Linked DNA regions of Nothobranchius furzeri. The protein of the gene in region 4 purifies or fractionates together with the protein of the main gene of each other region. This does not show direct contact. Links are inferred from orthologs where the notes say so. Each region holds a gene or a part of one and is shown on either strand. Other genes may lie near its edges.

Region 1 (7,474 bases), on a different chromosome or scaffold from region 4:
CACAACCACCTTCATCATCATCATCATCACCATCATCATTATCATCAACACCTTAATCATCATCACAACCACCTTCATCATCATCATCATCACCATCATCATCACCATCATCATTATCATCAACACCTTAATCATCATCATCACCATCATCATCATCGTCACCATCATCATTATCATCAACACCTTCATCATCATTATCACCACCATCACCATCATCATTATCATCAATACCTTCATCATTATCACATCATCATCATCGTCACCACCACCACCACCATCATCATCATTATCACCAACATCTTCATCATCATTATCACCACCATCACCATCATCATTATCATCAATACCTTCATCATTATCACATCATCATCATCGTCACCACCACCACCACCATCATCATCATTATCACCAACATCTTCATCATCATTATCACCACTCCACCTTCATCATCATCATCATCATCACCTTAATCATCATCATCACAACCACCTTCATCATCATCATCACCATCATCATCATCGTCACCACCACCACCAGCTATCATCATCTTCATCATCATCATCATCACCAACACCTTCATCATCATTATCATCAACACCTTAATCATCAACATCATCATAACCACCTTCATCATCATCATCATCATCATCTTCGTCACTACCACCACCACCAGCTATCATCATCAACACCTTCATCATCATCACCATCATCATTATCATCAACACCTTCATCATCATCATCATCATCATCATCATCATAATCGTCACCACCACCACCACCTTCATCATCATTTTCACCATCATCATCATCGTCGTCACCACCACCACCACCATCATCACCTTCATCATCACCACCACCTTAATCATAGTTATCACCATCATCATTATCATCAACACCTTCATCATTATCATCACCACCACCTTCATCATCATTATCATCAACATCATTATTATTCATCATTATCATCAACACCTTCATCATCATCACCATCATCATTATCATCAACACCTTCATCATCATCAACATCAACACCATCATCATCATCATTATCATCAACACCATCATCATCACCTTCATCATCATCATTATCATCAACACCTTAATCATCATCATCACCATCATCATCATCGTCACCACCACCACCACCACCACCATCATCATCATTATCATCAACACCATCATCATCATTATCACCATCATCATCATCGTCACCACCATCACCACCACCTTCATCATCATTATCATCAACACCTTCATCATCATCATTATCACCATCATCATCATCGTCACCACCATCACCACCACCTTCATCATCATTATCACCATCATCATTATCATCAACACCTTCATCATTTTCATCACCACCACCTTCATCATCATTATCATTCATCATTATCACCATTACCATCATCATCATCATTATCATCAACACCACCATCACCATCATCATCATTATCACCATCATCGTCACCACCACTTTCATCATCATTATCATCATCATTATTATTATTCATCATTATCACCATCACCGTCATCATCATCTTCATTATCATCAACACCACCATCGCCATCATCATCAACACCTTCATCATCATTATCACCACCATCACCATCATCATCATCATTATCATCAATACCTTCATCATTATCACCATCATCATCATCGTCACCACCACCACCACCATCATCATCATTATCACCAACACCTTCATCATCATTATCATCACCCCACCTTCATCATATTCATCACCATCACCACCACCATCACCACCACCACCACCTTCATCATCCTCCTCCTCCTCATCACAACCACCACCACCACCATCATCATCATCATCAAAACCACCACCACCATCATCACCTTTATCATCATCCTCATCATCACCATCAACACCATCATCACCACCATCATCATCATCACCATCAAAACCATCACCGTCATCATCACCATCAAAACCACCACCACCACCATCAACACCTTTATCATCATCCTCATCATCACCATCACCATCAAAACCACTACCACCATCACCATCAACACCTTTATCAACATCATCAACACCACCACCATCACCACCATCATCATCATCATCATCATCAACAACACCTTTATTATCATCATCATCAAAACTACCACCACCACCATCACCAAAAAACAAAGGCTCAATCCCAATACTCGCACTTGCACCCTTCATTTGCGCGTTCCCGGCCAGTGGTGCGAGTACGTAGAGTGTTCCGATTCTCAAGTGCAGAAGTTGACCCCGCCCCATTGCACCCTTAATCTGCACTTCACCCAAGTCCAGTGATGCGGACCTCGGGCAAGGGTATTACCCACAAGTCATTGCTGCAGGAGAAAAGGCTCAAGTTCCTTTTCTGAAAATATGTATTTTCTAATGAAATTAGTTCATTTTAGGATGATTAGTTGATGCTCTAAAACTTTAAGACAAAGCAGCAATAAATGTAAATTTATTTCAAATAACTGTATAGCAGTTTGTTTAAAAGTTGTTAATAAAGGTTTTTGAAAAAGTATCACAGCAACCAGCATCCTGGCATGCGTTGCGATCAATGACGCAACGCTCCCGGTCTCAATTCTGCAATTATTTGCACACTTGTGTACTACGCACTCGAAGCCTCACAGGGCACTTTCTCCAAGTGCACTTTGCTGACGTCTGCAGGGCACAGAGCGAGTATTGAGATTGGGCCAATATTGTCCGTTTCAAATTCACACACTGCAAAAACCCTCAGGCAGTGTTTTGTGATGCTGCTTCAAACACGTGATGAGGTTGGACGTATTAAACTTTCCTGCTTCTGTTCCACCTCGGGAAGTATAACAGAATACTGCCACATGGCCGACATTGCTCTTGCTCTGTGCAACTTTGCTAGCATGCACTGTTCTGATCTTGTGGGCTTTGCATGCTGGATAGAATTGGTGGAATTAAATTTAAAGCGGAACAGACTGTTAATATCGAAGATTTTTGATGCAGTCCGATTAGGTTAAAGTCCCATAGTCATCATCACACACTGGTGAAATTCATCTGCATCTGGCCCATCCCCATGGAGAGGAGCGGTGGAGCTGCAGTGGTGGCTGCACTCGGGAATTATTTGGTGGTTTAACTCCTCAATCCAACCCCTTAAAGCTGAGTGTCAAGCTGGGTGACATTGGGTCCCATTTTCAAAGTCTTTGGTATGACCCGACCAGGATTTGAACCTTGATTTCTCAGTCCCAGGGCGGACACTCTACCACTAATCCACTAAGCTGATAAAAACCCATAAGTGTTTTTGGGCCGATATCGGACCAATTTCTGACATCGATATCAGAACGGGGCATCCCCAACTACCATCATCATAAACACATTCACCATCATGAAAGTCACCATCATCACCATCACAATCACCATCATTATAAACGTCATCTTAATCATCATCGTGAATTTTTTCCACCAACAGGATCTTTTATAACCTGGACAAATGCTGATTTGTTTACGCTGAAGGATTGACCAATGACAGCTGTTTAGTGTGTCACTGTGCTAACATGACACAAAACAAGCTAACGCAGCTAAACGACAGAATAAACGTTCTATGAAGATTTTATTGTATAACCTAGGTACTTATTTACTGATGTCCGCTCACCTCCAACGCTAAATACCTCCTCTACGTCTGACCGAGACGTTTGAGCACAAACCTTTGCCAGCAAGTATCGAGCTAACCAAGTAGCTTTAGCTTCAAAGCCGACAGAAAGAGCATCTGAGCGATAATGAGCTCTTCCAGTCCGGCCCAGTCTTCAGTCTGAGAGACAGTCCCCGTCTGGCATTAACTTTAAACTATATTAATACAGTCAACTTCATTTTAAATCACAGCTTTTTACTGATTTTAGTCGATACAACAGCGAAGGAGCCCATTAGTCACCGCCATCTTCCTCTCCCTGAAGCCGGACCGCAAGGCATCCTGGGAAACGGAGTTCTGATGTAGTCATCTCTGTTGCCAGTCTGCCACAGAGATAATGAATAAACCTGATGGATCACTGAGTGATCAATGACAGGATAAGTTTTGGTCTTTTTAAAATTATACAGGTATAAAGAAGACTGAGCTCCAACTGGATTGTTTTAGCAGTTTAAGTTTTTGATTAATTACTGGCTAATAAACAATTTCCTCTTAAAACCGCCTAACCAACGCATCAACTAAACAACCAGCTCAGATAAACAGAAACGTGTCACGCCACTACATAACATTTGAGGAATCCGCTCACTGATGCGTGCACGTTAGGGCCGTGAACATCCTTCTGCAGCCATTGAAACAAATTCTTCATTTTAAAGACGGGCTGCTGCAACAGCAGCTGATCGGATCCTTCCAGCACCTTGATCCTGTTGTAGATCAGCTGCTGACTTTGGATCATGCTTCTGTTTCATGACCCGCTTTGGTCCAACTTTCAGCTCTCACATGAGATTCTGGGCCGACTTCACACTGATGTTAATGAAACACACAGAAGCTCTCACCAAAGCCAAATCAGTACAGATATAACGGTGTTTAATCACTGGTGCTGTGGTATGTTAGTGGATCAGAGGCTGGTAAAAAACACAAGATTAATGTTTAAGATAAATAATTTTTATTTTTAAACTTAATTCAACCAAAACAATGCAAAGTTAAAACATGAAATGTTTACTTTGTAATGATAATTATATAAAACAGACACAGAACCATTCACACCAGTCAAACAGAACTCAGCTAACATTCATCAACCACCCCCAAAAAGACCACCAGCCCATCATTTGGTAATTAAAAGAATAAATCAGGTGGTGCTACAACCTCTATAAACACACATTTAACATGTCCTTTTATTATTATTGATTTATTGTGTTTGTCCCATAAAGCCTCTCTTGTAACATCAGCACCAGGAGGTTGCTGATAACACTAAACACAACATCCTATATTGCCTGTTGGTTTTCAAAATAAAATGTAACAGAAATCTTGATAGCTTGTCCACCAACAACTAGCTGCCATCATGTTCACGTCTTAAACCAACTTTTATGATCTTCTAATGTTAATTGTAAAGGTGCAGAATGCAAATCAGATTTGGTGTCAACAGAAAATTTGGCGTTCTTTTGTGCAAACGGAAACGTCTGTGGGGTTTCTCTCCATGTATTTGGGAGGCTTCGAAAAGCAAAATGAATTTAATAATGTAATCTACCTGCAATAAAACCAGTTACAAAGTTGCATCAACACAAGAGGATGAAGGAACACAAGTTTATAACTTGTTCCAGCTTTTTGCTTGTGAAGCATCACAAAAATCTGAGTCCATCCATTAGGATGTTTTAAAACAGCCGAGGCTGATGGGATGGATGTGTGAAGGCTCAGCACCAGGCTGGAGTCTCCTGTAGTCATAAAAATGTGTGTATTACATTCTGAAAGTCATACACACACACCCTTCTGGGGGTCCCTGCTTTGTGTGTGTGTGTGTGTGTGTGTGTGTGTGTGTGTGTGTGTGTGTGTGTGTGTGTGCAAGGAGGGAGGGAAAGAGGAGGAGGGAGAAAAATGCTTCAAAGTTGTGAGATTCTAATGGTTGGTATTGTGACATCATCAGGCCTGATCTCAGCGAGGTCGTTCATGTTGCCCGTGAGCTCAAGCTAAGAGGCAGTCCCAGGGCCAAGCCCCTCTGAACAGCTATCCAAACAAGCCCAGCTGCTTTTTAAAGAGGAAAATTAAACATGAGTCAGACACCCTGAGAGCAGACAAGTGAAGCCCGAGGCACCTTCTTCCTGCCTCAGAGTCCCGGGTAACCCGACTTGACCCCAGCGCTGGTAACAGAGTCTGTCCAGATTCCAGCCAGAGTTCAAGAGAGCAAAGGGCGGAGCCTGTAGTTTCACCATGGTAACTAACTGTAGGGGCGGAACCAGTAGTTTCACCATGGTAACTAACTGTAGGGGCGGAGCCTGTAGTTTCACCATGGTAACCAACTGTAGGGACGGAGCCTGTATTTCACCATGGTAACCAACTGTAGGGGCGGAGCCTGTTGAGTAGCTAATAACGCCACTAACTTTATTCACCAGCCTTTGTTTCTTCCCAGAAGGAGCTTTTTCCAATCATAAAGGCCCCAGATCACGACTGGTTGTTGGTCTGAAGCTGTATGACAGTAACTAAGTCTCATACAGACTCTGATAGATTACTGCTACACCAGGAAGTTAACACTCCTTTAAAGGACTGCTGAGGCTTAAATCTACATTTTAAAAGGAATTAAGGCAGAATTTGGCACATCTGATGTACGAACTTCCAGGACATCAGCAGCGTTAGGGTTAACATCAGCAGGGTTATTCAACTGCAGGTCAGTGTTTGGAACATGCTCCTTCAGGTAAGAAACTGTGAGGGCAGAATTTTAACAGGCCAGACAGCACCAGGCTATAACAGAAAACCCAAGGACAGAGCAGGAGGGGAAACAAGGAGGAGTGTACTCTCAAAACTCTAATCAGAACAAGTCTAGCTTATTTCCTGATTGTTTCAAACTCAAATGTCTACAGCAGCAATGTGAAGAAGACCTTTCCTTCTTCAGACCAGCCCAGCATCCTTTGCCATCTTGTAAAAGGGTCCTCTCTCAGCAATGAGCCTAGAGGGAGAGTCAAACTCCACCATCTGTCCTTTTTCCAGTACCAGAACCCTGAAGGAGACAGAACATACAAACAATTTAGGTTCTTCAAGCTGCACAACAAATACAGATAAATGAGAAATCAAAAGTGTTTTACACAGTAGATAACGTTGGTTACGTATTATAACCCCAGATTCTATGAGTCTAGTCGCAGCCCTTAAGCTAGCTGCTATTGGAAGGATGATCTTCAGCATCATGAAGAGCTTAAATGTACACCCACCAATGGTGGGCACCCCTGTGGGTATATAAGTGGAGCAACTCCACTGTTCACCTCCGATGGCTCTTAGTCCTAACAGAACCAGTGGGGCCATTGGCTTAAGGGCTGCGACTAGACTCATAGAATCTGGGGTTACAATACGTAACCAACGTTCTACTTCGTCTAGTCTTAGCCCTTAAGCTAGCTGCTATTGGAATAATGCGCAGCTGGATGGGTTTACGCCACACTGGTTAGCTCAACCACTGGACACACCCAACATGTCTCCTTTTAGTGGGGGTCGCTCAACCTCACCCCAGGGCTTAAAAGGCTGAGGCAGCCAGAGAGAAGAGTGGGGCCCCCACTAAACATATCATCCACAAGACGATAAAATTCATTCAGGTAGGGCTGATGTGGAGCCATAATGCTTTCACTCAGCCTGCTGAGGTCCAAGCACTGAACGAGTGATGGATCCTGAAGACACATCTCGTAAATAATAACGAGTAAAGGAACAGGGTGAAGCCCATGAAGCAGCCTGACAAATGTCTTCCATCGACACACCACTGTGGGGCGCCACAGAAGAGGAAATCCCTTTGGCTGAGTGAGCCCTGAGTGTCTCAGGAGGATCCCGCCCTGATGATGTGTAA
Region 2 (7,378 bases), on a different chromosome or scaffold from region 4:
TTTGAAGATCTTAGGGCCCATTTCCACCCATACCTACGCAGCTCGGCCCAGTTCCAAGACATTCCCACTAATACCAGGTCGCTGTGGATCCAAGCATTCCGAACTGGGCTGAAAATGCAACATCAGAACACTTCCTGGATCCGGTTTGCTAGGGGGTGGAGTCTATGACTGGCTAGAGGGCGGAGTCACCGATTGCTCCGGAGTATTTCGTTTTGCTGCCCACAGCCTTTTCCGAGTTTCTTCTTTTAAGAGTCCGACAACCGAACTGTGTGAAGCTGTGCCGTGCAGACGCTAGTGGGAAAAGGCCATAAATGTTCGTGCTTCTTTTGAAGGGGGGAGACATAAAATCATATGAATGTTTTTACATTTTAAGAGCTCCGACATCCCTGCTCTGCGTGATCCACTAAAATGGCTCACTGTTGTAGTTAACAGTTGGATATTTAACACACAGCATCACAACACATTTCCCATAGCAGCTTTTAGTAAACTCTCATTTTCCTGATTTATACAGAAGAAAATGACTTTATGTCCTTTTTAATCGAGTCAGTCATGAAGAAAAGGGTTACCTGATCAAAACGCGTGGCGAACAGGTTGAGTGACGTCACAATCCCACCATTTGGTCCAAGACCGTACTGCTTCATCACTTCTTTGTAGTTGACGGTGTCCCTGATGTCTGTGGACGAGAGGACAGTCTGCAGACAGCCGCAGGAGCAACAGGCAAGATTTCTCTTTTTGTGTTTAAACTTTATAATTGAAATATGTTTGAGTCCAGCTGGACCTTCCTCTGTGGAGCTCACGGCTAAAAACAAGAATTATCTGACCTTAGATCACACACCTGGTGACCTGTCCAGGTATAGCCCTGTCTCGTTTATGTAAAGCTGAGATAGGCTCCGCCCCATATGACTGCTCAGGGGGGTATTCCAGAAAGTGAAATTTTCCCAAAACCAGGCTTTCTTGTGCAACCGTCCCTAAATCGGTTTTACAAACGTGGCTAGCCTGAAACCCTCCCAGTCACCATGGTAACGCATGCTGGAGAACAAACCTGCTCCGTGGCAGGCTAGCTGCTAGGCTTACTGAAGCTTTGTGAATATGATTGGACGAGGAGGCACGTTACGTCACCTTTTTCTTGTCGGTGGCTGGCAACTAGGAAGAGGTGAGTTAGCGCCACTGCTGGCCCACAGCGGTAACAGCAGCTGCAGCTTTGCTTTGGATGACTAAATTATTAATAAATGTGGAGTTTAAACTTTTAAAACTGACTTCTAATTGGATCTACATCTTAGCATGTTTTGCATTTAATCTTCATTTGCAACCAGGAGTGTTTCATTCCACTGATGTTGCTCCTGATGTCAGCATTATTAATGAGTATAATTATATACCAGCTTTAGTCTGGGATGGACCCATATCATTAACATGCTGTCCTCTTTATGAATATGTTAAAATAGCCTTAAACTACCTTACAGCTGCTAGCATAACACATGTAAATGAAACACTTCATTGGTGTGACTATATTTACTCGACATACGTGATGTTTTGTCCTCGGTGTGTAATATGAGTGCTAAACGGTTTACAGCGCTAACTTTAGGGTCACGTGACCGCCACGAACGTATCTTCTTAAAACTCACAGCAAAAACAAAGTCCTCCAGTCTCTAAACATCCGGACTCTGGAGCAGAACATGAAAACGACACATAAGTGATGAAAACTTTAAAGAGCACGTCACCTCCTACCAGGGTATAACTCCATTCCAATTTCCTGTTTGAAAAATGCACCACAAGGTGGCGTTGCCTGGGCAGACAAAGAGGGCGGAGCCGCTGACAAATACACACACACAGGCCCAATCTCAATAGTCGCACTTGCGCCCTTCGTTTGCGCGTTCCCGGCCAGGGTGTCCCGATTCTCAAGTGCGGAAGTTGACCACGTCCCCATTGCACCCTTAATCTGCACTTCACCCAAGTCTGCAGCGATGCGGACCTCTGGCAAGGGTATTACCCACAAGTCATTGCTGCAGGAGAAAAGGCTCAAGTTCCTTTTCTGAAAATATGTATTTTCTAATGAAACATCAGTACCTGCAGGCGTACACTAAATACACATGACGCCACTAAAGGTGCTTTTATAGGACACACCATGCCGGCATATCGGCGTAATATTACCGCAATGGTATGTCCATGAACGCGCTATGCCGGCATGGCGTTGCACGAATTTTGCAGCATTCGTTCCGCCTCGCTTGATAGTAATATTGGCGCATCAGCCCCTTGCCTCTGTCGGCTAAACGCGTGTCAGCCCCGCTAATCCCTTTGGAGCGACTGTGGGAGCCCCCCCCCCCCGCAAAAGAGGGTGGTCGTGTTAGTCACATGTACTGCGCGTCGGGTGCCGGCCGGAAGGAAAGCCGGCTGGACGGACGCGGAAACCATGGAGCTTTTGGCCGTGCGAGCGGACGAACAGATTAGTCGCCTTTTTACGGGGACGGTGAGAGACAGCCAGCTGTTCGACAGAGTGGTGAAACACGGGCTGAGCGGGGCGTCAAGCGGGGCAAAAAGCAGGTCACATCAAAGCTAAAGGTCGTGAAAAAGAAATTTCATCAGTCTGACGTGTCTTCCGTCTGACGCTGAATGCGCGACCCTGTACGTCACATGCGGGGGGGGGGGGCGACCAGCAACCTCCCTATATCCCATCTTGGTTTGAGAGGTGTCTGATGGCGGTTTATTCTAGCTTCAGCTTTGCTACTATAAATGCCAAAACCTTCCCCAGGATGAAGCGGCAAATCGCGTTTTAAAAACGCTACGGTCCTATAAAAACAGCTTAAGATGTGCACCCTGCTGACACTGGGACAACAGAACGGCGGTGACTGCAAGCATGAAGTGGGCAGAGGAGGAGGCCTATATGCCTCAAGTGGCATATATTTGCCACATGAGGATATTTAAAAGCATGTCATTTTGACAGACATGACAGAGGAAAAAATATATCGCAATATATATCGTTACCGCACATGCTTCAGATTATTTCGCAACATAGATTTGAGGCCATATCGCCCAGCCCTATGTGCGAGCCGTGATTTTCGATCCTCGCTGGGATTAAAGAGGACTGAATCCACTGGAAAATCATTCGTGGAGCAGGCGAAACTGGGAGGGGAGGGGAGCGCTTTGTCAAGCAGGGATTTATCAGGAGATCCCAGATGTTCTAAACTTTCTGGAATACCTTCCTGGGCAAAGTGGGGAACGTTTGAGTTTTGTGGGAAGAAAAACCCAAGTCAGAAACAACACGGAGCCTCAGATATCCAGGAAATAGACTGATCCTCACCAATGTTGGCTGGAAATGGCACCTCGTGGACAGCAGGGTCCAGGTTGATGACGTATGGAGGAGACTTCAGAGAGTGGAGGTGGGCTGTCAACCTCTGAAACACACACACACACACACACACACACACACACAGTTGAATTAATTTGTCTCCGATTAAAACTAGGCTTTAATAAATTTATCTACTAGACTTTTGAGTATAAAAATATTGAACTTGTAGGACGAGGAAAAAGAGCAGGAAAACTGCTAATCGACCCCGTACAGCACCGGGCCAACTACCGCTGGTTAACTCACCTGCCTGTTTACTAGGAAGTATTTGCTAGCATTTAGCCACCAAATTAACTCAAACCCCGTTTACGGAACGGATCTAGTCTTCAACAGAGAAAACGCAGTAGGATTTTACAGACGGAGTCCTCATTGCCTCGCCACGCGCCTCCTGGTCGGAGCTCACCTGAACGAAGGTGGTCTTCCCAGAGCCCGCCATGCCCAGAACGATGAGACACACCGGGGAGCCCACCGAACCACAGCCTCCTCCTGGTACCGAGCTCTTCTCCGGTAACTCTTCTGTGTCTGCCGCAGCTGCCATGTTGGTGGCTTCTGAACTTGCCGTCAAGGCGCAGGCAATGTCGTAAAATACAGGACGTGCAACAGCTGTGGTGACCAGCGGAGGGCGCCAAACTAAAAACAAATATTAGCAGTTATTGTTTAGCAAAAACATGTATATAGCTAAATTATTTTCATACATAGTAAATTTTGTTTTGACAGTACTCATTTTAAAAATCTGTTAAATTTTCAGTCTTTTAGGGTGATAATTATTGGTTTCCAGCCAATGGAGGCTTTATTACAGCAAAATTATTTTTCTGACAGTGAAGTTTTGATGCGTTTAGACTCAATGAGTTCACATCAAACAAACTTTGCACCTCTAAAATCCCAGCAGAACTGGTGCTGGGTGTTAGTCTTCTGTAGAAAGCTGAACATTTTCAAAAAACGGTTTGCTGTAAAAATCATTTTAAAAAACATATTTACTTCAGAAATGCCTTCATCAGTTCATTGCTGCAGTTTGAGAATCGCCACAGTGACAACTGATGTCTTTTTTTTAACTCTAAGCATCATTTTGTTGTGAAACTTCATTTTAATTCTTTTTTTTCACTACAGCCTGTCAAAGTGCTGAAAATAAAACTGACCACTGTTTTTTGGAACATGAGTTGAGTTGTGAGATCAGCTCAGATCCGTTTTGAGCTCATCTGAAATTTATCAGTAATGGATTGTCCTCTTTACAGAAGGAGGAACCAGGACTTCATGGACTGGAGCCAACTGAAGTGTCTTCAGATCAATACAGGGAATACCAAACAGCTGGTGCAGACTCACGACGCTGGGGACCATCCAGGGAACAGACGCAGAGTGAGATAGTGAGCTCCTTTAGAACCTGAATGAACTCTGTAAACTTTTTGATGGCTCATTCAAGGAGGAAGTTCTGGCCTTTCGGAGAGCAGGGGTTTCTCCTGGAGACCTTAAAATCCTCTGTTGGGATTGCAGTCATGATCTTTGGAATATTCTGATGGAGCAGCAGCAGAGAGGAAGAGACCAGGTCAGCTGATCAGGACCATTTCTATGCTGGGAAACCCACTAGACCCAGTACAGGTGATAGGAGATGGAATACTTCTATTCAAATCACCACCTTTGTGATTTTATCTAGAGAATCATAAAACAAAATTCCCTTATTTTTCTTTTTCTACTCCTTCGATCTCTCACTCGGGTAACTTAAGGTTAGGTCAGTTTAGGTTAGCTGATCAGATGATGAGGTGAGGTTGCTGTTAACGTTTTAAAGGTGGGGAACACTGAAAACATTTTAAATCATTATTTATGATCATAACAGGCCACTCTGAGTTTTTCATACAAGATGAACATGAAAATAGTCTCCTACACCTATCTCCAGTCCTGCATCAGCTTCTGATAGAAACCAGACGGTGAAATTCTAGGATTAGAAAATCCTGAAAGATCTACAGCACACTGTCACTTAACATTCATGGACTCACCCATCGGGGACGGTTGTTGTTGGTTTTGCGTCCAGGAAACGGTAGAGCATGTCTCAGCTAATAGAAGCTAATCGTTAGCATTAGCAACTCCCCCGCACAGCAGAACTCCTCTAGGCTTGAGTTAATTGTGGAGATAAAACATCAACATTGCAGCGTTAACAGCCAGTGGTAGAGTCACAATGCTGTTATCCAATCCGAGGCAAGATGTCCAAATATCAGGAAATAAGACTCCAAAGCCTGCCGTCTGAAGCTCAGCTGTTTATGTTTATTCATTTATTCATTCAGCTGTGATGTTGCCTACTAGTTCCTGAAAATAGTGCATCAGTGCTATTTTTCCCATTCCTACTAGAGACCACTGTAAGTTCAGGTCATCATTCCAATTAAAAGTTTTCCATCTATGGGCACCCACTAAATTGCATGTAGTCACTGAAATGCAGCATCAGTGACTTCACAGAAATCTCTCACACTAAGCATGATTTTGTAAAATGTGATTAGTTTAGTCCAATTCAATTCAACCAATCAGATTTCACACTGTCAGCAACATCAGTCAAGTCAAAACCAACCTCCTGAGACTTCAGAGGCATGTGTGAACCAGTCCTGTAGAACGCTCTGACACATAACCACAGGAAAGGGTCCTGAAGACCAGAGATCGGATGTCCACAGCTTATCCTGTCGTTACGGAAACGCGCTGTGATTTCTGGTGTCCATGACTACAGATTAATGACTTTCTGTTTCTGCACAAATGGGACAGGAAGTGAAAGGTCACGGACATGTGATGATCCTGCTGTTTAAATCAGTTTCTTTTGTTTCAGACAGAAGCAAAGGATCAGGGATAAGGTCGAAGAGGAAAGTACGGATCTGCTGTGGGATCCGTGCATTTAAAATTTCCCTTTTCTATCTGAGGAGGAAACTACTGTCACCGTGGTAACTGATATTGAACAATAGGGCCTCACAATGTTTTGCAAAAATGTTCTTATTACACAATCAGAGTGTGGAACCTGAAAATTGCAAAGATCTTACAGCTTAGTCGGTTATATTCTAAGACAGGTGACCCGGCAGCCGGTTCTGATGGAACGCTCTTCGTGTTCACTTGATTTAAAACAGGGGCCTCGTTTATAAAACTTTACATAAAAGATGAAGTAAAACTCTGCTTAAGCTCAATTCCTGCTTTATACATCACACCTTTCCTAGAAATGTGCTCGGAAGTTTCTGGATCACATCCAATTCCTACACACACGTTCTGCCATAAATGGTCAAAGCAAATCCCATAAAAATTCCAGGTCTAAGGGGAACATGGCGCATCTGCAAACAAGCTAGGTTTTGAAACGCAACAACGGCCAAAGAACACTCACCCCTCTCCTCGGGTATCTTCCCTGCCGGAACTGGAAACCCATAATGTCAGAGGAAACGAGACGGTGCTAAACACCAGTCGCTGTTTTAGGTCCAAACTTTTTTTGTTGTCTGTGACTTCAAATGTTCTTTTTTTTTTTTCTTTTGGGGACTCTGGTAGTTTGTCCTAAAGCTGAAGTGGTAGCAGCCGGCTGTTTCTCCTCCTCTGACATTATGAAGCGGAGAATCTCTCACACCAGTGGTGTTCTGGTGCTAAAAACATGAGTGTGTAATGAGTGGAGGACCCAGGGAAGTACGGCAGCTCGCTGAGACCGACAACCCGATGATCCAATAGTTGCTTTTGGTCAGAAACGTGTTATTAGTGAAGGTTTTTAGACAAATGTGAGAGAACCACTTTAATAGTTTCTTTCATTTTTTAAATCCCCACAACATATTTTTGGCTTCATTATGTTAGAACCTTGTTAAGAGGCATGAAAAACATTTTAAGCTCATTTGTTTTCCATGTTTGCCATTGCAGCTTTGATTTAAGGCATCACCAGTAGAGTAGGAATGATGACTTATTTATAAAAGCACTAAATTAATCTATTCCATCATGATTATTCAAATGTTAGACTTTTATATTAAACAACTGATACCTTCAGCCTTCATCTACTTGTCTCTAATTAAGAATTTTTTGGTTTTAGGACATAATTAAACTTCC
Region 3 (7,366 bases), on a different chromosome or scaffold from region 4:
TGGTCCAGGTCCACCATGAGGACCAGCTTCTTGTTTCGATGGAGTCTCTGCTGGTCTTCTCTGGCCAGCTGCTTGGCTTGCTGTGCAAATTAATGCAAACAAAGGACAATGTAGGATAAAGTTCAACTACACACATGTATATATATAACCTCACATAATATTGGAGTGTTATTGGTTTAATGTTGTAATTTTCACAGATTTGCAGGCAAGTGAAATTTTCTAATAAAGCTATATGAAGCCACACACACACACACACACACTTCCATCATATAACTCACCTCAGAGCTGACCATCAGTTCAGGGACACTGTGAACCATGGAGACTGTTGCTGTGGAGATGGGAACTTGTTGCTTCCCGTTTGTTCCCTGGAGCCTACGATGGGATAGAGAGAGAGAGAGAGTAGGAGTTCTGCCCTCTGTGCATCTCTCAGACCCTTCAGCAGATTGTGACTGAAAGGATTTATTACAAACATGCAAATGCATGCATTCATGCCTGCAGCAGTTCAGCGTCCAGAGCCCCCAACGTGGACTCATTAAGCCACAAAAGCATGCCCTGACATTTTATCTCACTGCTGAGGTCTCTGTATTAAATACATGCAGCGTCACATTTTTCTGGTTTAGCTTTTGTTCTTGTTCTACCAGCAGCGTGTTTGAAAACAGTTGAGACTTTTATGATTTCATTATTTTGATTATTGATCGATTAGGTTTAATTGTAAATGAACCCCCCAAAATTTTAACTGGAAAACTCGGTTCACACACTTCCAACACACAGCTCGTGTCATCGCGAGATCTGGTTGTTCCGTCAGAATGAAGGTGGTACACACTGCTGCCACCTAGCAGTCGGAGTTTGAAATGCACCACACAAAATAAATAGTTAATGTTTGCATGTAAATTCTCAAAAAAAATCTATCCGTTGCTTTTAAATGGCAATTCAGTATCATAACATAATTTCCCCTCATATGTTGTTTTTATTACTCATTATTGTCTGATGAGGAAGAATGAACCCTTACCACCTGGGTGTTTGCTGTACCCAGCGTAGCAAAAGCCATGTATCAGATTATATGACGACTCGGTGTTGAGTCTTGTTTTTGGTTAAATATATGTAACATGCTAACCTTGCAGAAATTATATAAACATCCTTGAAATGCATCAAAGTCACCTAACATCCATGTGTGATCTCTGGTGCCACCCGCTGGCACCACACAGAACAACACCCAGTACCAAATAGGGCTGTCGCGGTTGAGGAATTCCTCCTGCGGTGATTCAGGGTGGCTTAATATTGCGGTGTGCGATATTATTGCAGCCCTTTTTTATTGCAGTACTATCTAAACATAATGTTTACACATTTAAAAAAGGTTAAAAATTGCCGTGCCTTCTTTAATAACACTTTACTGAATGCAGATCAAAGGGCAGTAACAACACAGATCGCAGTAACGTTTGTTTCTCCGACAGTCGGAGTCCGACTGAACTTAAAAACAACAAAATTCAGGAGAAGGTTAAACTTTTAAATGCAAATTTGGCTGCAGCATCTAACAAATAAGAAACAAGTCCCCATTTTGTTTAGTTGTTTAAAATCAAGCATAAAAAATTACATGTACCGGGCGCACGCGCGCGCGCCGGGGGGCGGGCGCACTATCATTTCACTTTCACACACACGAATGACGGTGCTTTATAGCTCGGCCACGTCCTTGTTACCTACAAGGAAAACCAGCATGTTAACTACGGTTTGAGAGAGGATCTGAGAGGGGTGGCAACATTTCCAGCAACACTGAAAACCCTCTCGGATGGTGCGCTCGTTGCGCTAACGCACACGTACTTGCGTGCGACTCTGGCGAGCAAAGGGAATCTCTCCCGGTTGTTGCTCCACCATGTCAGGGGGTTTCTTTAGGGTGGATGCATTCCTCCTGCAGGTAGCGAGTGAGCTCCAGCTCGGCTCCAACTCTCTTCGGGACGGTTGCAGAAGCAGTGCTTGTCCGGGACTTCAGCAGGTCTCCGAGCATTTATTTATTTATTTATTTTTGCCGCTGGTGGCAGCTCTGTCTCGGCCAAGGACTCTGGCTGCGCAGCAGCTGACGTACTGAAAACCAAAGTGCTCCCAAAGGAGCGAAGTAACGTTTCGTTTTGATACCAGTGCAGCCATCCTTCTCAACATGCATCATTGAGTTGAACCAAGTTCAGTAATCGCGGTGGCGCATGATGCAGCGCGGTGGGCTTCTTCATATCGCGATATTTCATTTTTGCGGTTACCGCGACAGCCCTAGTACCAAACACTGCTCTCGCTGCAACATGACATTTATTCAGCCTATTTTACCAACTTTTTTAAATGATCAGCATGTGTCCAACAATAACTAAACAGAAACAATGTCCATCCACATCTGGAACTGGGAAAGGAGGAGCAACAGCTGAAAACAAGTAGATTCTGAGTCAATGTGTCCTTACTGAGTAAGATCCTGGCCACACTCGGCGCACAAGCCCTTCATGACAATGGGATGGCTGCACTGTTCAATCCTGACGATGACACCACTAAAAAGACAGATGGTGAGAGAATAAAACAATTATTACAGCACCCACATGTTTATTAAACACGTATTTCAGCTATTGTGGCTCATATAGATGTTTGTCTCTATTTACACTATTACAAATAAATGGGCTACACACACACTGGTGCTGCTATGTAATTAGAATTAAATTAAATAAAGCTGATTCATCCAATGAAGGCAACACTTTTATTGTAGTACAATTAAGGCTGAGTTAAATCCTGATTAGTATCAAGCTGTCATGTTTGCAAATAAAAAAACAGCATGGTTTTTTTTTTGTTTGAAGTAGGATTTTACAAAATGCACCTGAAGGCCACAAGAATAGGCAATAATATAATTACATCACTTCAGGTTTATATCAGTAAATGAAGAGTGAGGTAATGATTTTCCTGTTTCCTGACTGTCTAAAACCTGAAAACGTCCCTGACAGCACTGTGCAAACGTGTTGTTTTCTTCCTATATTGATCTGATTGTTGACTCAAACACACCACAACACTGCCCAGCATGGTGGTGCTTTCAAAATAAAAGTATCGCCTGCTCTTCTTGAAAAACGCAGCTTTGAATTTACAGCAGCGGTGATCGCACACACTTTTATTTCCACACATGTTCCATAATATATTGGATAAATTCACAATACGACGTTTAAAACCAATTCTGAGACTGACGTATACGAACTTCCGCTCTTACTTCCAAGACAACTGTTGTTTTAGGGTTAACTTACTAGCAACAATGCTAATCAAGTTAGCCGTGTTAGCTACTGGCTAACTGACGTTCAAGCAGGGATGCTTTCAAAAAAGTATTTTCAAAACTTTTTTTTATTTGTTTGGCTGTAGATTTTCTTAGAAGGGGTGTGCTGTAGTAAACAGAGCGACTCACCCTGGAGGAATGATTTGTCCAACTTGACAACCTAGCTCCTTCACTACTCCAGAACGGTCTGATTTCACCTTCTTCTCGGGCAGCCTGGCAGCCCCCGTCCCCTTCTCCCGAGGCATGGGAGCACACAGTGCCAGCACAGAGTCCACGTTAACCAGAGATCCGGGCTTGACTTTCCACTCTAGAAGCCGCAGAGGGAGAGCCCCGCTGGGAGAGCACATATCTGCCACCTGCACTGCGGGGCCCTCCGCAGCAGCATCGCCGCCGCCGCCACCAGAATCAGCAGGAGGATCCTCCATCTGTCCTGCAGTCTCCAGAACCTCTTTCGTTTTCTGCACCAGTCCACTTTATACGTATCAAACCCACCTCGCGATGGCCAGTGTGTCAATGTAGCAAACGAATCACGTGTTTGATCAATAAAACAAATGTCCTGGAGATTTAAACACCGTGGCTGCTGTCTCGTTCGCTCTTCCCGCCCGTAAACAGGAAAGCGCAACACTGCAGCGACGCACGTCGCAAAGCTAGGGGTTTGCCGAAAAGTGTATCCCTGTCACACTGGTCAGGGAAAAGGTTTGAAAATAACATTTGAATGAAAGTTTGATGTCAATCAGGTTGTGTTGCATATTTTTTACATACGATTTTTAAAACACCACATTTTACGGGGAGTAATTTTAATTTTGTTTAGAAGTGAGATGATCGTATTTACACTGAAAAGCACACAGTAATAGAATCTTTGCAGATTTTGGACTGACGTCAAATCTTACGCTTCATGGCTAGGGTGCTTTTTTCGACATGACACCGGTAAGCAGGCGGACAGGAAGAACGGGACACTTTTCTACTTGCCCTTCAAATTAAAAGCGCTGATAAAATTCAATGGATCACACATTTGGTCTTCAAAACCGTGTATTACACTGGACTTTCAAACTTACTTCTGTGCACTTTATTCCAGTTTACAATTCAAAATGACAGAAAGTTGTGCGTGTTTACCAACTGTATAAAATAAGGACATGCACTCATATTGGACTCAGCGGATTCCACGATTTTATTTTTAAATAAGAAGACGAAAACGGAAGTGGGTGGGTGCGGTTTCTCTTGCACTCCAGTCTTCTGACCAAAAGTCATGCTAGTGTTAGCTGAAGAAGGTTCTCAGACTGCTGGCGACCTCTTTGACAAGAATTCACGGCTGTGAGCAGGGTGTTAATATTATCAGAGGGAAGCATGACATGGGGGACTTCTGGAGTGGTAAATAAACAAAAATCTGAATCTATGTCTAGATCGTTTTGGCAAAGATAGTCATTGATATTAACCTGTTGACTAACAGCTAACGATTATTAGCTATCATCAAGCTATGCAACTAGTAAAGCTAGATGTGCAAGTTGATAGTCATTTAATTCAACTTAATATATTTATTTATTCATATTTCACTGCATTAAAACATCTGTTGTTTGAAGTTCCATCTCAGTTTGGCAACTAAACAAAAACTGTCTCTTCGTTACTCTGAGCTCCTGATTGGTCCAGTACATCTGTGGTCCTCAAGGGTCTAAATGTGTGCCTGACGCAGTGGCGCTCCTAGAAAGTTTTCTTCGAGGGGAGCCAGTGCAAAATTTGAGATGGCACCAAATTTGTTCCTGTGGTAAATAATGGAGGATTTAAGCCTGATTCATGCTTCTCCATCAGCTCCAACAGGGAGAGACACGCACGGAGATGTTCTCCGTCTCCTGTGGAGCGTTGCAATGCACTTCCCCGCCAGGACAGCAGAGGGCGTAGCGCTGTTCTGTGGTATCCTGTCATGTATCGGTCCAAGATAGTGTGTTTATATTGTGTTTTTTGTATATAAGAGACTTTTTAACACGGACATATTTGTCTCTCATTCTCCTCCACCTCTTCATGCGCTCGCCACCTCGAAACCCACGTTTCCTGTCATTTCCATCCACAAATAAAACGCTTGCTGCGCATCTTTTCACTCCTCCAGTCACGGGGGATTAAACGTTCATATTTTTAGGTTTTTTTTTGCGAGGTATTCTTCAAGCTGCTCCGCTTCTGCCGCTCGGCTCTCTTTATGTTTTTGAGGGCGCAGTGGCGGCGGTGTAGACAACAGCGGCGTCCTGACCAATCACAAGCTTGCGTTGTCCGTCTCGACGGATGGATGTTTAGAAAAGAGAGCTAGACTCTGTCCGTCCTTGCGGAGCTCTCCGGCAGGCCCGCGAGGACGGATAATGGTGTTGCGTGTCTCCGCTCTGACGGAGAAGCATGAATCAGGCTTTAGCCTGTAGCTGCGCATTGCTCTGTGCCTTCAATTTCTCTCATTAAAAACACTTTTACCTAAAATCCGAGAAATAGAAACATTTTAGAAAAAAAGACAATTTATGCTGTTATTTTAATTATTGTTTCCAATTTAATTGTTATAGAATTTAATAACATTTAAATACATTTTAACTAAAACATAATTGGGTGGCCAACAGTTTTCTAGGGGTGGCCATGGCCCCCTCTGGCCACCCTGCGAGGGTGTCACTGGACCGACAGAAAACCACCTTTGATGTGGAGGTCACTGGCACCCCCCGTTATCTGTAAATCAATTTGTCAGCAGTAAAGACATTTTGTCCCGTGTTGAGTCAGCGTACAAAAACAACACCGGACTGGCCTTGATGGGACTCCATTCCCATCCCTCTCAGTATATAAACATGCACACATGCTTGAATCCCTGTTCCAAACCTACTAATCTGATCTTTTCTCACTATCAGCTTACCTGTGTGTTGCTGGGTTACAAAGGATTTTGTTTTTTTGTTTCCCAGTTAAGAATATGCAGTCACCACCTGGCTCTTCTACAAAGATCTTCACATCATGGTTTGCCTCTCCAAACAACCAGATCCTTCTGCTCACTCAGGTGTCAAAGAGAGTTTTATACCCTCAACAATCCTCTTCCTTAGTTAAACAGAACTGTTTTAACCCTTCCAGGGAGCGGAAACGTAGAGAGCTGCTATGGAAGACCCTTTTAGGCCTCTCAGTCAGCGTACCTGTGGTGGTGGGTGCCCAGTATGCCGTGTCAGACCACAGGCAGAGGAGGAAGATGAGAATCGTGATTGAGGGATTTGGACGTTTCTTCAGGTGTGTTTGTGTTTTTTTATTTACTCGATAATTTCAACAGAACTTTGTTACAACGCTGATTGAACAGAGTCTTTTGGAACTGATTTTGCTCTTGTTCGCACGAAGAAACACGTTCAGAAAACATCAAAGTTAAAACTGCCAGCATGATTCACTGGCTTTTATCCGTGTTGTGCATATGGCTTAATTACTGATATTTATGTTTTACTAAATAAGTTTCCAGAAAATCACATAAATACGATCCGTTACGAGTTGTAGGAAAGAAAAAAACCTGTAAAGTCCCAGTGGCATCTCTGCCTGTGCCCTCAGGTCTTTATCCGTGGGAGTCTTTATCTCCGTGGATTACTGGTGGACCACCAACGTGACTCTGCGTGGACTGGATGAAGTAAGCTTCATGCCATCAGAGTGGATGGGATCAATGTTTGATGTTGATCAGAAGTTTATTAGTAGCTCAAGCTGGTTTCGTCTTCCGCTCCGCCAGAACAGCCCATCCTACCAGCGCCAGATGTCAGCCTGCCACCAGAGGGCAGCAGAGTACATGGTGGAAGGAGCCACAAGGAATGGAGGAATCTATATCAAACTGGGCCAGGGTCTGTGCTCCTTCAACCACCTGCTGCCGCCCGAGTACATCCGCACGCTGCAGATCCTGGAGGACAAGGCTCTGAACAGGAAGTACAAAGAGGTGGGACAAAGAACGAAGCACACGCTGCAGCAGAGGGACTAAGTGAGATTCGTCCTGTCTGGTCATCTCCCACAGGTGGACGCGCTCTTCCTAGAAGACTTCAACAAAACCCCGGACCAGCTTTTTAAGTCGTTTGACTATGAGCCCATAGCTGCTGCCAGTCTGGCTCAGGT
Region 4 (7,848 bases):
GAGGCTGCACCATGGGTGCCCGTCCGCACCCTTTATATGGATATACGCTGACGGCGATTCGCCGATGGATCTAAATACCCCAGGGAATCCAAGTAGCAGAGGTGGAAAGACTACTAAAATTTCCTTCTTAAGTACGAGTACCAATACTTTGATAATTTTTTACTCAATTACAAGTAAAAGTACTTGCCTAAATGTTTACTCAAGTAAAAGTAAAAAGTATCGTAAACAAAATGTACTCAAAGTAAAAGTCACTTAGTTACATTTTTGTCAGTGTAAGGATGGCTACATCTAAGTAGTGCTAAATCACAACGCCAGTTCACAACACACACACACACACACACACACACACACACACACACACACACACACACACACACACACACACACACACACACACACTCAAACACGCACAGCTTGAAGGAGGGATTTCTATCCAATCAGTGAGAACAGGACGTGCACATTGATTGGACGAGGTTTTTCTAGGATGGTAAGTTTCAATTGTGATTAAAATTATTCTTTATTTTGAGAAAAAATTATTTTTAGATGCCATCAGCATGTGAGGTATCTCAATGTTTTCATGACAAAACTCTAACATGAGACTGTGCTCTAACCTGTCACATAACAAGCTAAATGAAAGTCAAACATTTCAGATGGACCGTATGACAGCTGCTAACGTTGGCCCTGCCCTACTTTACCTCTACATTACAGTTCCTTTATCCATGTCCATCCTAGACCTCCTCTCTGACCTTCATGCGTATTTAGAGCAGCTGATTTTTAAAGTTAGCAGAGTTCATCTTTGGTAGTGGGTTCACTCACTCATTTAACCCTTCACCACTGAAATCAGTCTGTTCATTCCAATCCTCCTAAATAATCCTCCAATTGTCCAACTGGAATCCTTCCAGGTGTTACTAGAACTAACGGTGTCTCCTCACCAGCGTGAGCCTCCAAACTGTGAAGGTTGGACTCCAAACATGAACTTTAAATTCATGCATTTATCTCGTCTTGTAGCACATTAACATGTTTTAAAAGGCTTGTATCATGATATGTTACACCTCCCAGACCAAAGATAAGATAAAATATTATCATAGACACTGACGTCATTATTTATGAAATATAAGTTATTTTCCTGAGTCATTACTTCAGCCAAGATATAAGATGCATGGATTTGATGAAACCATGCTGTCTCATGCAGTCCTATATGTGTACACAAACACACACACACACACACACACACACACACACACACACACACACACACACACACACACACACACACACACACACACACACACACACACACACACACACAGCAGCATGTTAGAATCATTTGAATGACTAATTTAACTACATTGAACTGCTTTAGTAATAATTTAATCTCTTATTCTGGAGTAAAATAAAGAAACAAGCTAAATCATCACATATCTGTGGCATCAAGAAGCATCTTCTGAGTTCAGACACAGGGATGGAGCACAATGTTTACACCTGAACAGTATCAGGATGTTTTAACTCACAGAGGCCTGCAGGTCTTCTGTTTGATGAGCAGAGCGCTGATAATCCGCTTGTTATGAGCGCTAAACGTTATTTTGCTGCTTCCATGCGGAGCGGTAGAGAAACACATTTCAAACACGGAACCGAGTCCGGCTACCGAACCGAGCAGATTTCTGATGACGTCACACCGGTGCGCGAAGGTGCGGGTTCCAACCCACAGGAGAGAAGAGAGAGAGGAGGTAAACAGCGAGTTGATCGACTGAACTGATGTCTTTGAGCAAAAGACGCGGTGATCATGCAGGTGTCTCTTTCTGTTCCGACGCTGCAACACGTAATATTTTTAATTTATTAAGCCTATAATTTATTTTTACTCAGTAATGGATATCATTTAAAATGTAGTGAATTACAATTCTTTTTTAAAAACTTACTCAAGTAAAAGTAAAAGTACAGCTTTTAAAAACGACTTAAAAAGTATAAATATACAAAAAAGCTACTCAATTACAGTAACGTGAGTAAATGTAATTCGTTACTTTCCACCTCTGCCAAGTAGCACCAAAGTTGTCAGCGTGAGTAAACAAACGTACTGCATGCTAGAAATTAAGTCCGGGTTGCAATAAACAGGAGTTTTCCTTTAAGCACATAAGCGTGAATATACAACTACGTGTTGGACTTGGTATGCTAATTAAGTTGGGCTGTGAAGCGCCTCCCAAATTCGCTGTTTATGTTTTTGTTTATTTATTTGGCAGACAAAACTTGGATCGGAGACAACTCGCGTGGGAAATTGCAATGTAGCCATGCGGCGTCTTCTTCTTCTGTTTGTCTGGGAGGCGGAGGCTGCTTTACGGCATCTGGCTGTCGTGCGTGTCGGTGTACTTGAAGAAGGCTGTGTATAATAGTCCATAATATCGATACCACAGGGATGGAATATCTCATTTAGATACCACTTTTAGTATCGATTTATATCTGGGTATCGATTTTTTTGACAACACTAGTAGCCACAGCTGCCCTGGGGTGCTTTGACAGAGGCGAGGCTGCCGAGCACTGGCGCCACCGGTCCCTCCGACCACCACCAGCAGACAATGTGGGTTAAGTGTCTTGCCCAAGGACACAATAACAAACTGAGCGGGGCTCAAACCTGCAGCCTTCCGATTACGGGGCGAGCACTTAACTCCTGTGCCACCGTCGCCCCAAGGGAGCATGAGGCAGCATTTTCACGCATGGATCAGCCACCACGGTCCAGACCTCAACCTCATTGAGAATCTTTGTGATGTGCTGGAGAAGGATTTGTGCAGCGGTCAGACTCTACCACCATCAATGCAAGATATTGGTGAAATATTAATGCAACACTGGATGGCAACAAATCTGGTGACGTTGGAGAAGCTCATCGAAAGAACACCACTGCGAATGTGTGACGTAATCAAAGCTAAAGGTGGTCCAACGAAGTATTGGAATGTGTGACGTTTTTTGGATGGCAGCTTTTCTTTGGGCCAGGCAGTGTGTATAAATAATATGAAGTAATAAGGAAACATGAACTAAACAACTGTAGTGACTTTAAAAAAGAACATAAACTCACAATGTCATTCTTGTCGACTCGTGTTCCCACGATCTTCAGCCGGATCTCATCATCTTGCTGGATTACAATGTCCTATAAAAAGTAAGAAGCATCAACAAAAGTGTGATAGAGCAACATTTACACATTAGGGGGAAAAAAAGCAGAACTTTTTACATGCTGAAGTTGATTTTTATTAATATGACTGTTTAAACAAGCAGCAGTAAAATAGAAAAGTTACAGATATTCAACCTCATCGCCAGTCTTGTAGCAAGGTGGATTAGAATTGGGGTCGAACTCCATTTCTGTGGGGATGGACTGAAAATAAAAATATGATCAAAACAACATTAAATAAATAATGAAATAAAAAGATGATTCTAGTGAAACCGATGCTTTAACAGACTTACATGGCGAGAGATGAAGCAAGACATGGGACCGATTTCTGTGAACAATCCAACCTGCAAGCAAACAGAAAAAGGTTAAAAAAGGCGAGGCGCAAACGTACTGGCATAACAATCCTCAATTTGTTTAGTTTTCACAAGCGTGAAGTTCTGCTAAAGAATTAAGATCTGCTACGAAGAACAATGACTAAAGATGAGTGAGCCATACCTTGTTAACCTGAGTGACCACAGCGTCCACCACCTCGCCCTTAAACGGGCGGAAAACAATGGCCTTGTACTTGACTGGATAGAGGACAAAACCTCTGCCTGGCTGGATGACACCCGCTCCGATGTTGTCGATAGTGGTTACTGCAATGACAAATCCATACCTGGGAAACAGAAAAAACAAAAGAGTTAATCCAACTTTTTAACAAGGCAGCAACACGTTGATCTAGTTATGCCATAGTCAATGTTTCATTAACGCTTTCAGTCGTTGCAAAGCCCAGTTAAAGTTATCATGAACAATAATAAAATGCTGTTACTCACTTGCCAGTACAAGTTCCCTCTACCTCTGTGAAAAGCTTCTGCTTCACGGTGTTAAGTAGATTGGGACCGAAGTACCTGGGGTGGAGAAGGATTTCATGCTCCAAAGAAATCTGTAAAGTGCAACAAAATCCTTCATCTGTAAATTGGTTGTGCACACGTTCGTATTTTAAAAATGCATAAACCAGCCTCTGTAGATTGAGTAATGGATGAATAAAATGTCACGTTGATTAAAAATATGAAAACTAGTCCAGGTTAGAAGAAGAGGGAAAGACTACGACGTTGTTGATAAACGATCCAAATCGAAACATCCATTAAGCCTTCAGCTACCCCCGATTACGAGAACAATGTACATACTCACGTGATAAAACATTTCTTGATAAGTTTAAATTCCACCTTAAAAATATACTTTTAAATACGTCGAAGTGGCTTCTCTTGTTCTTTGTTGAAAGGGAATCATGGACGTCCGGCGTAGAAGAACCTCTTCCGGGTCAAAGAGGATTCTTGAAATTTTGTTGTAAATTGTATTGTAACGGGAAATAAAAAAAATAAAATTATCTTCAGGGATTTTTAAAAACTGTTTATTTAAAAACAATTAACGGAATAAGTAATCCGATTTAAACGAGTTCCACCGTCGGTTCATTTTAATACTGCTTTCTTGTGGCGAGGAAGTATTACTGCAGAGAGGCGTGGAAAACAATAGGCGTGACTGAAAGCCGCTCTGTGATTGGCTGTTTTTTAGTGGACTCTTATCTGACACACAGACGAAGCGAAAACAATTTATTTAGGTGAAAGTAATCCAACTTTAGCACAATCGTCATGTTGTTTAGCGGTCATTGGGACCACACTACAGGTGGTTTGAAGTTTTAAAGAACGAAATAGATTAAAATAAACAATTCTGCTACATCATTAGAAAGAAAATAGGAATTTTGTCTCCGTGGTTAAAATTACTCTCCAAGTCCTCCTTCTGTCATGGCGAGCAACCTCGTTTTCAAGTTGCTTCGTCTTCCTGTCACCTCTAAAATTGTAAGTAGCGAACCGTAGATTTGATTGTGTGTTTTGTTTATCTGACTCTTCGGCTGTCTGTGCAGGCGTGTCTCCGGTCGGGTCGCTTGTTTCGGGGTAAGGTGGCTGCAGTGGCGGCTGGGACCAGACCGTCCTCCGGCACCCTTCCGGAGAAGATCAGCCGCTATCCCATTCCTTACAAGAAGGACCTGCCTTATGATATAGTTGAGCTCATGGAGGAAGTGGAGTCAAAGGTTTTAAATTAAAACCAGCCTTTAGGTCTCGCGATCACACGCCTTTATCATTAATCTGCTCATATTTGTGCACAGGGAGGCTTCCTGCCAAATGTCTTCAAAGCCCTCTCCCACAGACCAGCTGAGTTCAGAGCCTTCTTCGCTTACTACAATGAACTGATGAACAAGGACACAGGTTGGTTTTTTCTGATGTAGTGGCCTCAGTTCAGATAAATACAGACACACGATGCAGTGTTTAGAATAAAAAGCAACCCGTTCTTCAGCACCTTCAACCCTCCCAACGTGTCCAAGCCAGGGTTCAGTGAACTAAACACTTCGTTCACTTCTTATTTGTGTTGCAAATAAGGATGTTTGTCCTGTGTTATGACTCAACAGGACTAGAGGATAACCTTTTGTAGAAGCTGTGATGCTGGATTTGTTCCAGCGGATGATCACGTGATGAAAGTGAAAAAAATTGTTAAATATATTTTCAATAAGTCAAGTTTAATTTGTGTCTCTACCTCTTTCTGTTTTTGCAGAACAATTGGGAGGAATGTGGATTTTGTATGTATTATGTTAACTAACTGAACATCTAAAGAAAACAGGTGACTCTTAAAGTTAGACTGCAAGTGTTAAACAGATGATCAAGCAGCTAACGTTTTTATTTTAACCCTCCCACTGTCTTTATGGGTGACCCCGCAAGGAAAGGGGTGAGGCGGTGCTCACTACTCACCCCTGCCACATGGATTCAAGGGATAAACCATCAACCCTGCTCAATGGTCTGTTTTCCTCGCGGGGTCACGCCTATTAGGACAGTGGGAGGGTTCAAAACACAAAACGACTCTTAAAGAGATTTTTCCCAAACCGTTCCAAACTCGACCAGGTACCTGAATCTTAGTATCAGCCATGCTCTGCTTATGATTTCAAGTTTCTCCTTCATATAGCCATCTAAGAAAAGTTCTTACAGGCTTTTATTTTAATCGAGTTAGTCATTAACTGAGGAGTGGAGACAGGAGATTATTGAGGAGTATAAAAAAAACTCCTCAAAGTCAAGATGCAAAACAACATGGAGGTTTAATCGCAGGGTAGGAGACCCGTGGCTTTAAGCAGAAGAATCAGATTGATGACAAACCCTGAACTGAACATGTTCTTTTATAGGTTCAGTATAAAATTCTCTCCTCTAACCTCCCTTGACCCACAGCTTCCCTGTCACACATCCGCCTGCTGCTGCAGCTTCATTATGAGATGCCAGTTTCCCTCTGGGATTAAATTTTTATTTGAATTAACCAAGCATCTGGAGGTTGCATTGTGGCACAGTTAGTAGAACTGTTGCTTGCAGCAAGGTGAGCAGGTACAGTCTTTCTGCACGGAGTTGGCACGCTCTCCTCGTGCATGTGTGGGTTTACTGGTAGAGTTTAGGCAACATCTCCCGAGGGAGGGGGGGAAGGGCGGGAAAGAGAGAAAGGCAATAAAACCCTTAATTCCTCAAGCCCTCAACAGAAATGTGCGTAGGTGACAACCAATGTAATGCTTTGTCCTTTTGTGCTGTTTATGTCTTCCAGGCGGGTTGACAAAAGCAGATCGTGAGCTGATCATCGTTGCAACAAGCAGTCACAACAAGTGTCTTTACTGTGTGGTTTCCCACAGCGCATTGCATCGTGTCTACTCAAAGAAACCAACACTCGCGGATCAGGTGAGAGTCTTAGGTCGTTTGTGTTCCACTTAAGAGCATTCATGAGACAGCTGGAGAGTGTTGATGGCCTTGGAAGGTGTACTCTGGGGGAAAAAAAGCTCTGGTGCATCTGGTTAACAAACTAGAAGATTGCCACATCAGAGGCCCAGTCCCAACACGGCATTCATGGCGGTTGATGTTTTGTAAAGAAAATGCAAACTTAGCGCTATAATAACCATTCTGTCCAATTTTGCTAAATAGTCTGTTTTTTATTTTATTTTCATTTATTTATTTATTTTTTTTTTTAAACCCTTGTTGCATTTTTCACACTGTTGGACTTGTTTTATATCCTTTGGCTCTCAAGCATTGGGTTATCTTATTAAAGCTGAGGACAACATGTGTGTGCCTTACCTGGGTATGAAGTGTAATAAAACTGCCCAGCTGTGTGCAGCAGGTTTGCTTCTCTTCTAGAATAATAAAATCTGTTGAAAATCAGGTCTAAATCACAATCAGCTGTGAACTGAATGATGCACATTTGAACCGACGATGAGAGATGTGTCCAGCCTTATCCTATGAAAGTGAAGACGGAAGAGATCCTGTGGTAATGAGGCTAGCCCAATGCTTGAGAGCCAACAGGTAAAGTCAGTCCAACAGTGTGATAAAAGCAACAAGATTTATTACAAGTACACATTTGATGTTTTTTATGAAAGAAATGGAAACCAGTTTGTTGCAAAAGAGGACAGAATGCTTTTATGGCGCTACGTTCACATTTTCTTCAAAAAAAAAAAAAACTCAAGACATAAATACCCTGTAGCAGGGAGACTGTTTGCTGTTGCATCAAATAGCCAATCGTAGGAGAGTCCTTTCAGCCAGTCAGAGGCAAGAAAGGCTGGACCTTCTTTGGACTTCGGCCCAAACTCGCACTGCTCTCTGCAGTCTTCAGCAAAGTGTACTTGGAGGAAGTGCACACTAAGGCTT

The links.
Region 1: the proteins of polr2g (region 4) and scaf1 purify together in Homo sapiens (affinity purification with mass spectrometry; 3 studies listed by BioGRID and IntAct, counting the BioPlex papers as one, with this or other methods). This does not show direct contact. The link is inferred for Nothobranchius furzeri from reciprocal best matches to the Homo sapiens genes POLR2G and SCAF1.
Region 2: the proteins of polr2g (region 4) and gpn1 purify together in Homo sapiens (affinity purification with mass spectrometry; 4 studies listed by BioGRID and IntAct, counting the BioPlex papers as one, with this or other methods). This does not show direct contact. The link is inferred for Nothobranchius furzeri from reciprocal best matches to the Homo sapiens genes POLR2G and GPN1.
Region 3: the proteins of polr2g (region 4) and ctdp1 purify together in Homo sapiens (affinity purification with mass spectrometry; 4 studies listed by BioGRID and IntAct, counting the BioPlex papers as one, with this or other methods). This does not show direct contact. The link is inferred for Nothobranchius furzeri from reciprocal best matches to the Homo sapiens genes POLR2G and CTDP1.

What each region holds. Positions count from the first base shown.
Region 1 is NC_091758.1:13,827,160-13,834,633, reverse strand, and holds the start of scaf1 (splicing factor, arginine/serine-rich 19), read right to left. Parts: upstream 3,918-7,474; 5' UTR 3,683-3,917; exon of another isoform or gene 3,631-3,682; intron 1-3,630.
Region 2 is NC_091749.1:65,739,567-65,746,944, reverse strand, and holds the start of gpn1 (GPN-loop GTPase 1), read right to left. Parts: upstream 3,918-7,378; 5' UTR 3,879-3,917; coding exon 3,744-3,878; intron 3,390-3,743; coding exon 3,296-3,389; intron 674-3,295; coding exon 567-673; intron 1-566. UniProt on the Homo sapiens protein: Small GTPase required for proper nuclear import of RNA polymerase II (RNAPII). May act at an RNAP assembly step prior to nuclear import.
Region 3 is NC_091751.1:1,629,354-1,636,719, reverse strand, and holds the start of ctdp1 (RNA polymerase II subunit A C-terminal domain phosphatase), read right to left. Parts: upstream 3,918-7,366; 5' UTR 3,709-3,917; coding exon 3,413-3,708; intron 2,523-3,412; coding exon 2,439-2,522; intron 373-2,438; coding exon 279-372; intron 81-278; coding exon 1-80. Other genes in the region: adck5 (uncharacterized aarF domain-containing protein kinase 5), read left to right, coding at 4,628-4,651, 6,202-6,293, 6,365-6,514, 6,821-6,896, 6,993-7,193, 7,269-7,366. UniProt on the Homo sapiens protein: Processively dephosphorylates 'Ser-2' and 'Ser-5' of the heptad repeats YSPTSPS in the C-terminal domain of the largest RNA polymerase II subunit. This promotes the activity of RNA polymerase II.
Region 4 is NC_091741.1:90,871,188-90,879,035, forward strand, and holds the start of polr2g (DNA-directed RNA polymerase II subunit RPB7), read right to left. Parts: upstream 4,487-7,848; 5' UTR 4,334-4,486; coding exon 4,322-4,333; intron 4,074-4,321; coding exon 3,964-4,073; intron 3,807-3,963; coding exon 3,647-3,806; intron 3,496-3,646; coding exon 3,445-3,495; intron 3,356-3,444; coding exon 3,290-3,355; intron 3,134-3,289; coding exon 3,062-3,133; intron 1-3,061. Other genes in the region: uncharacterized protein si:ch211-175m2.5, read left to right, coding at 4,933-4,986, 5,052-5,219, 5,295-5,394, 6,761-6,891. UniProt on the Homo sapiens protein: Core component of RNA polymerase II (Pol II), a DNA-dependent RNA polymerase which synthesizes mRNA precursors and many functional non-coding RNAs using the four ribonucleoside triphosphates as substrates.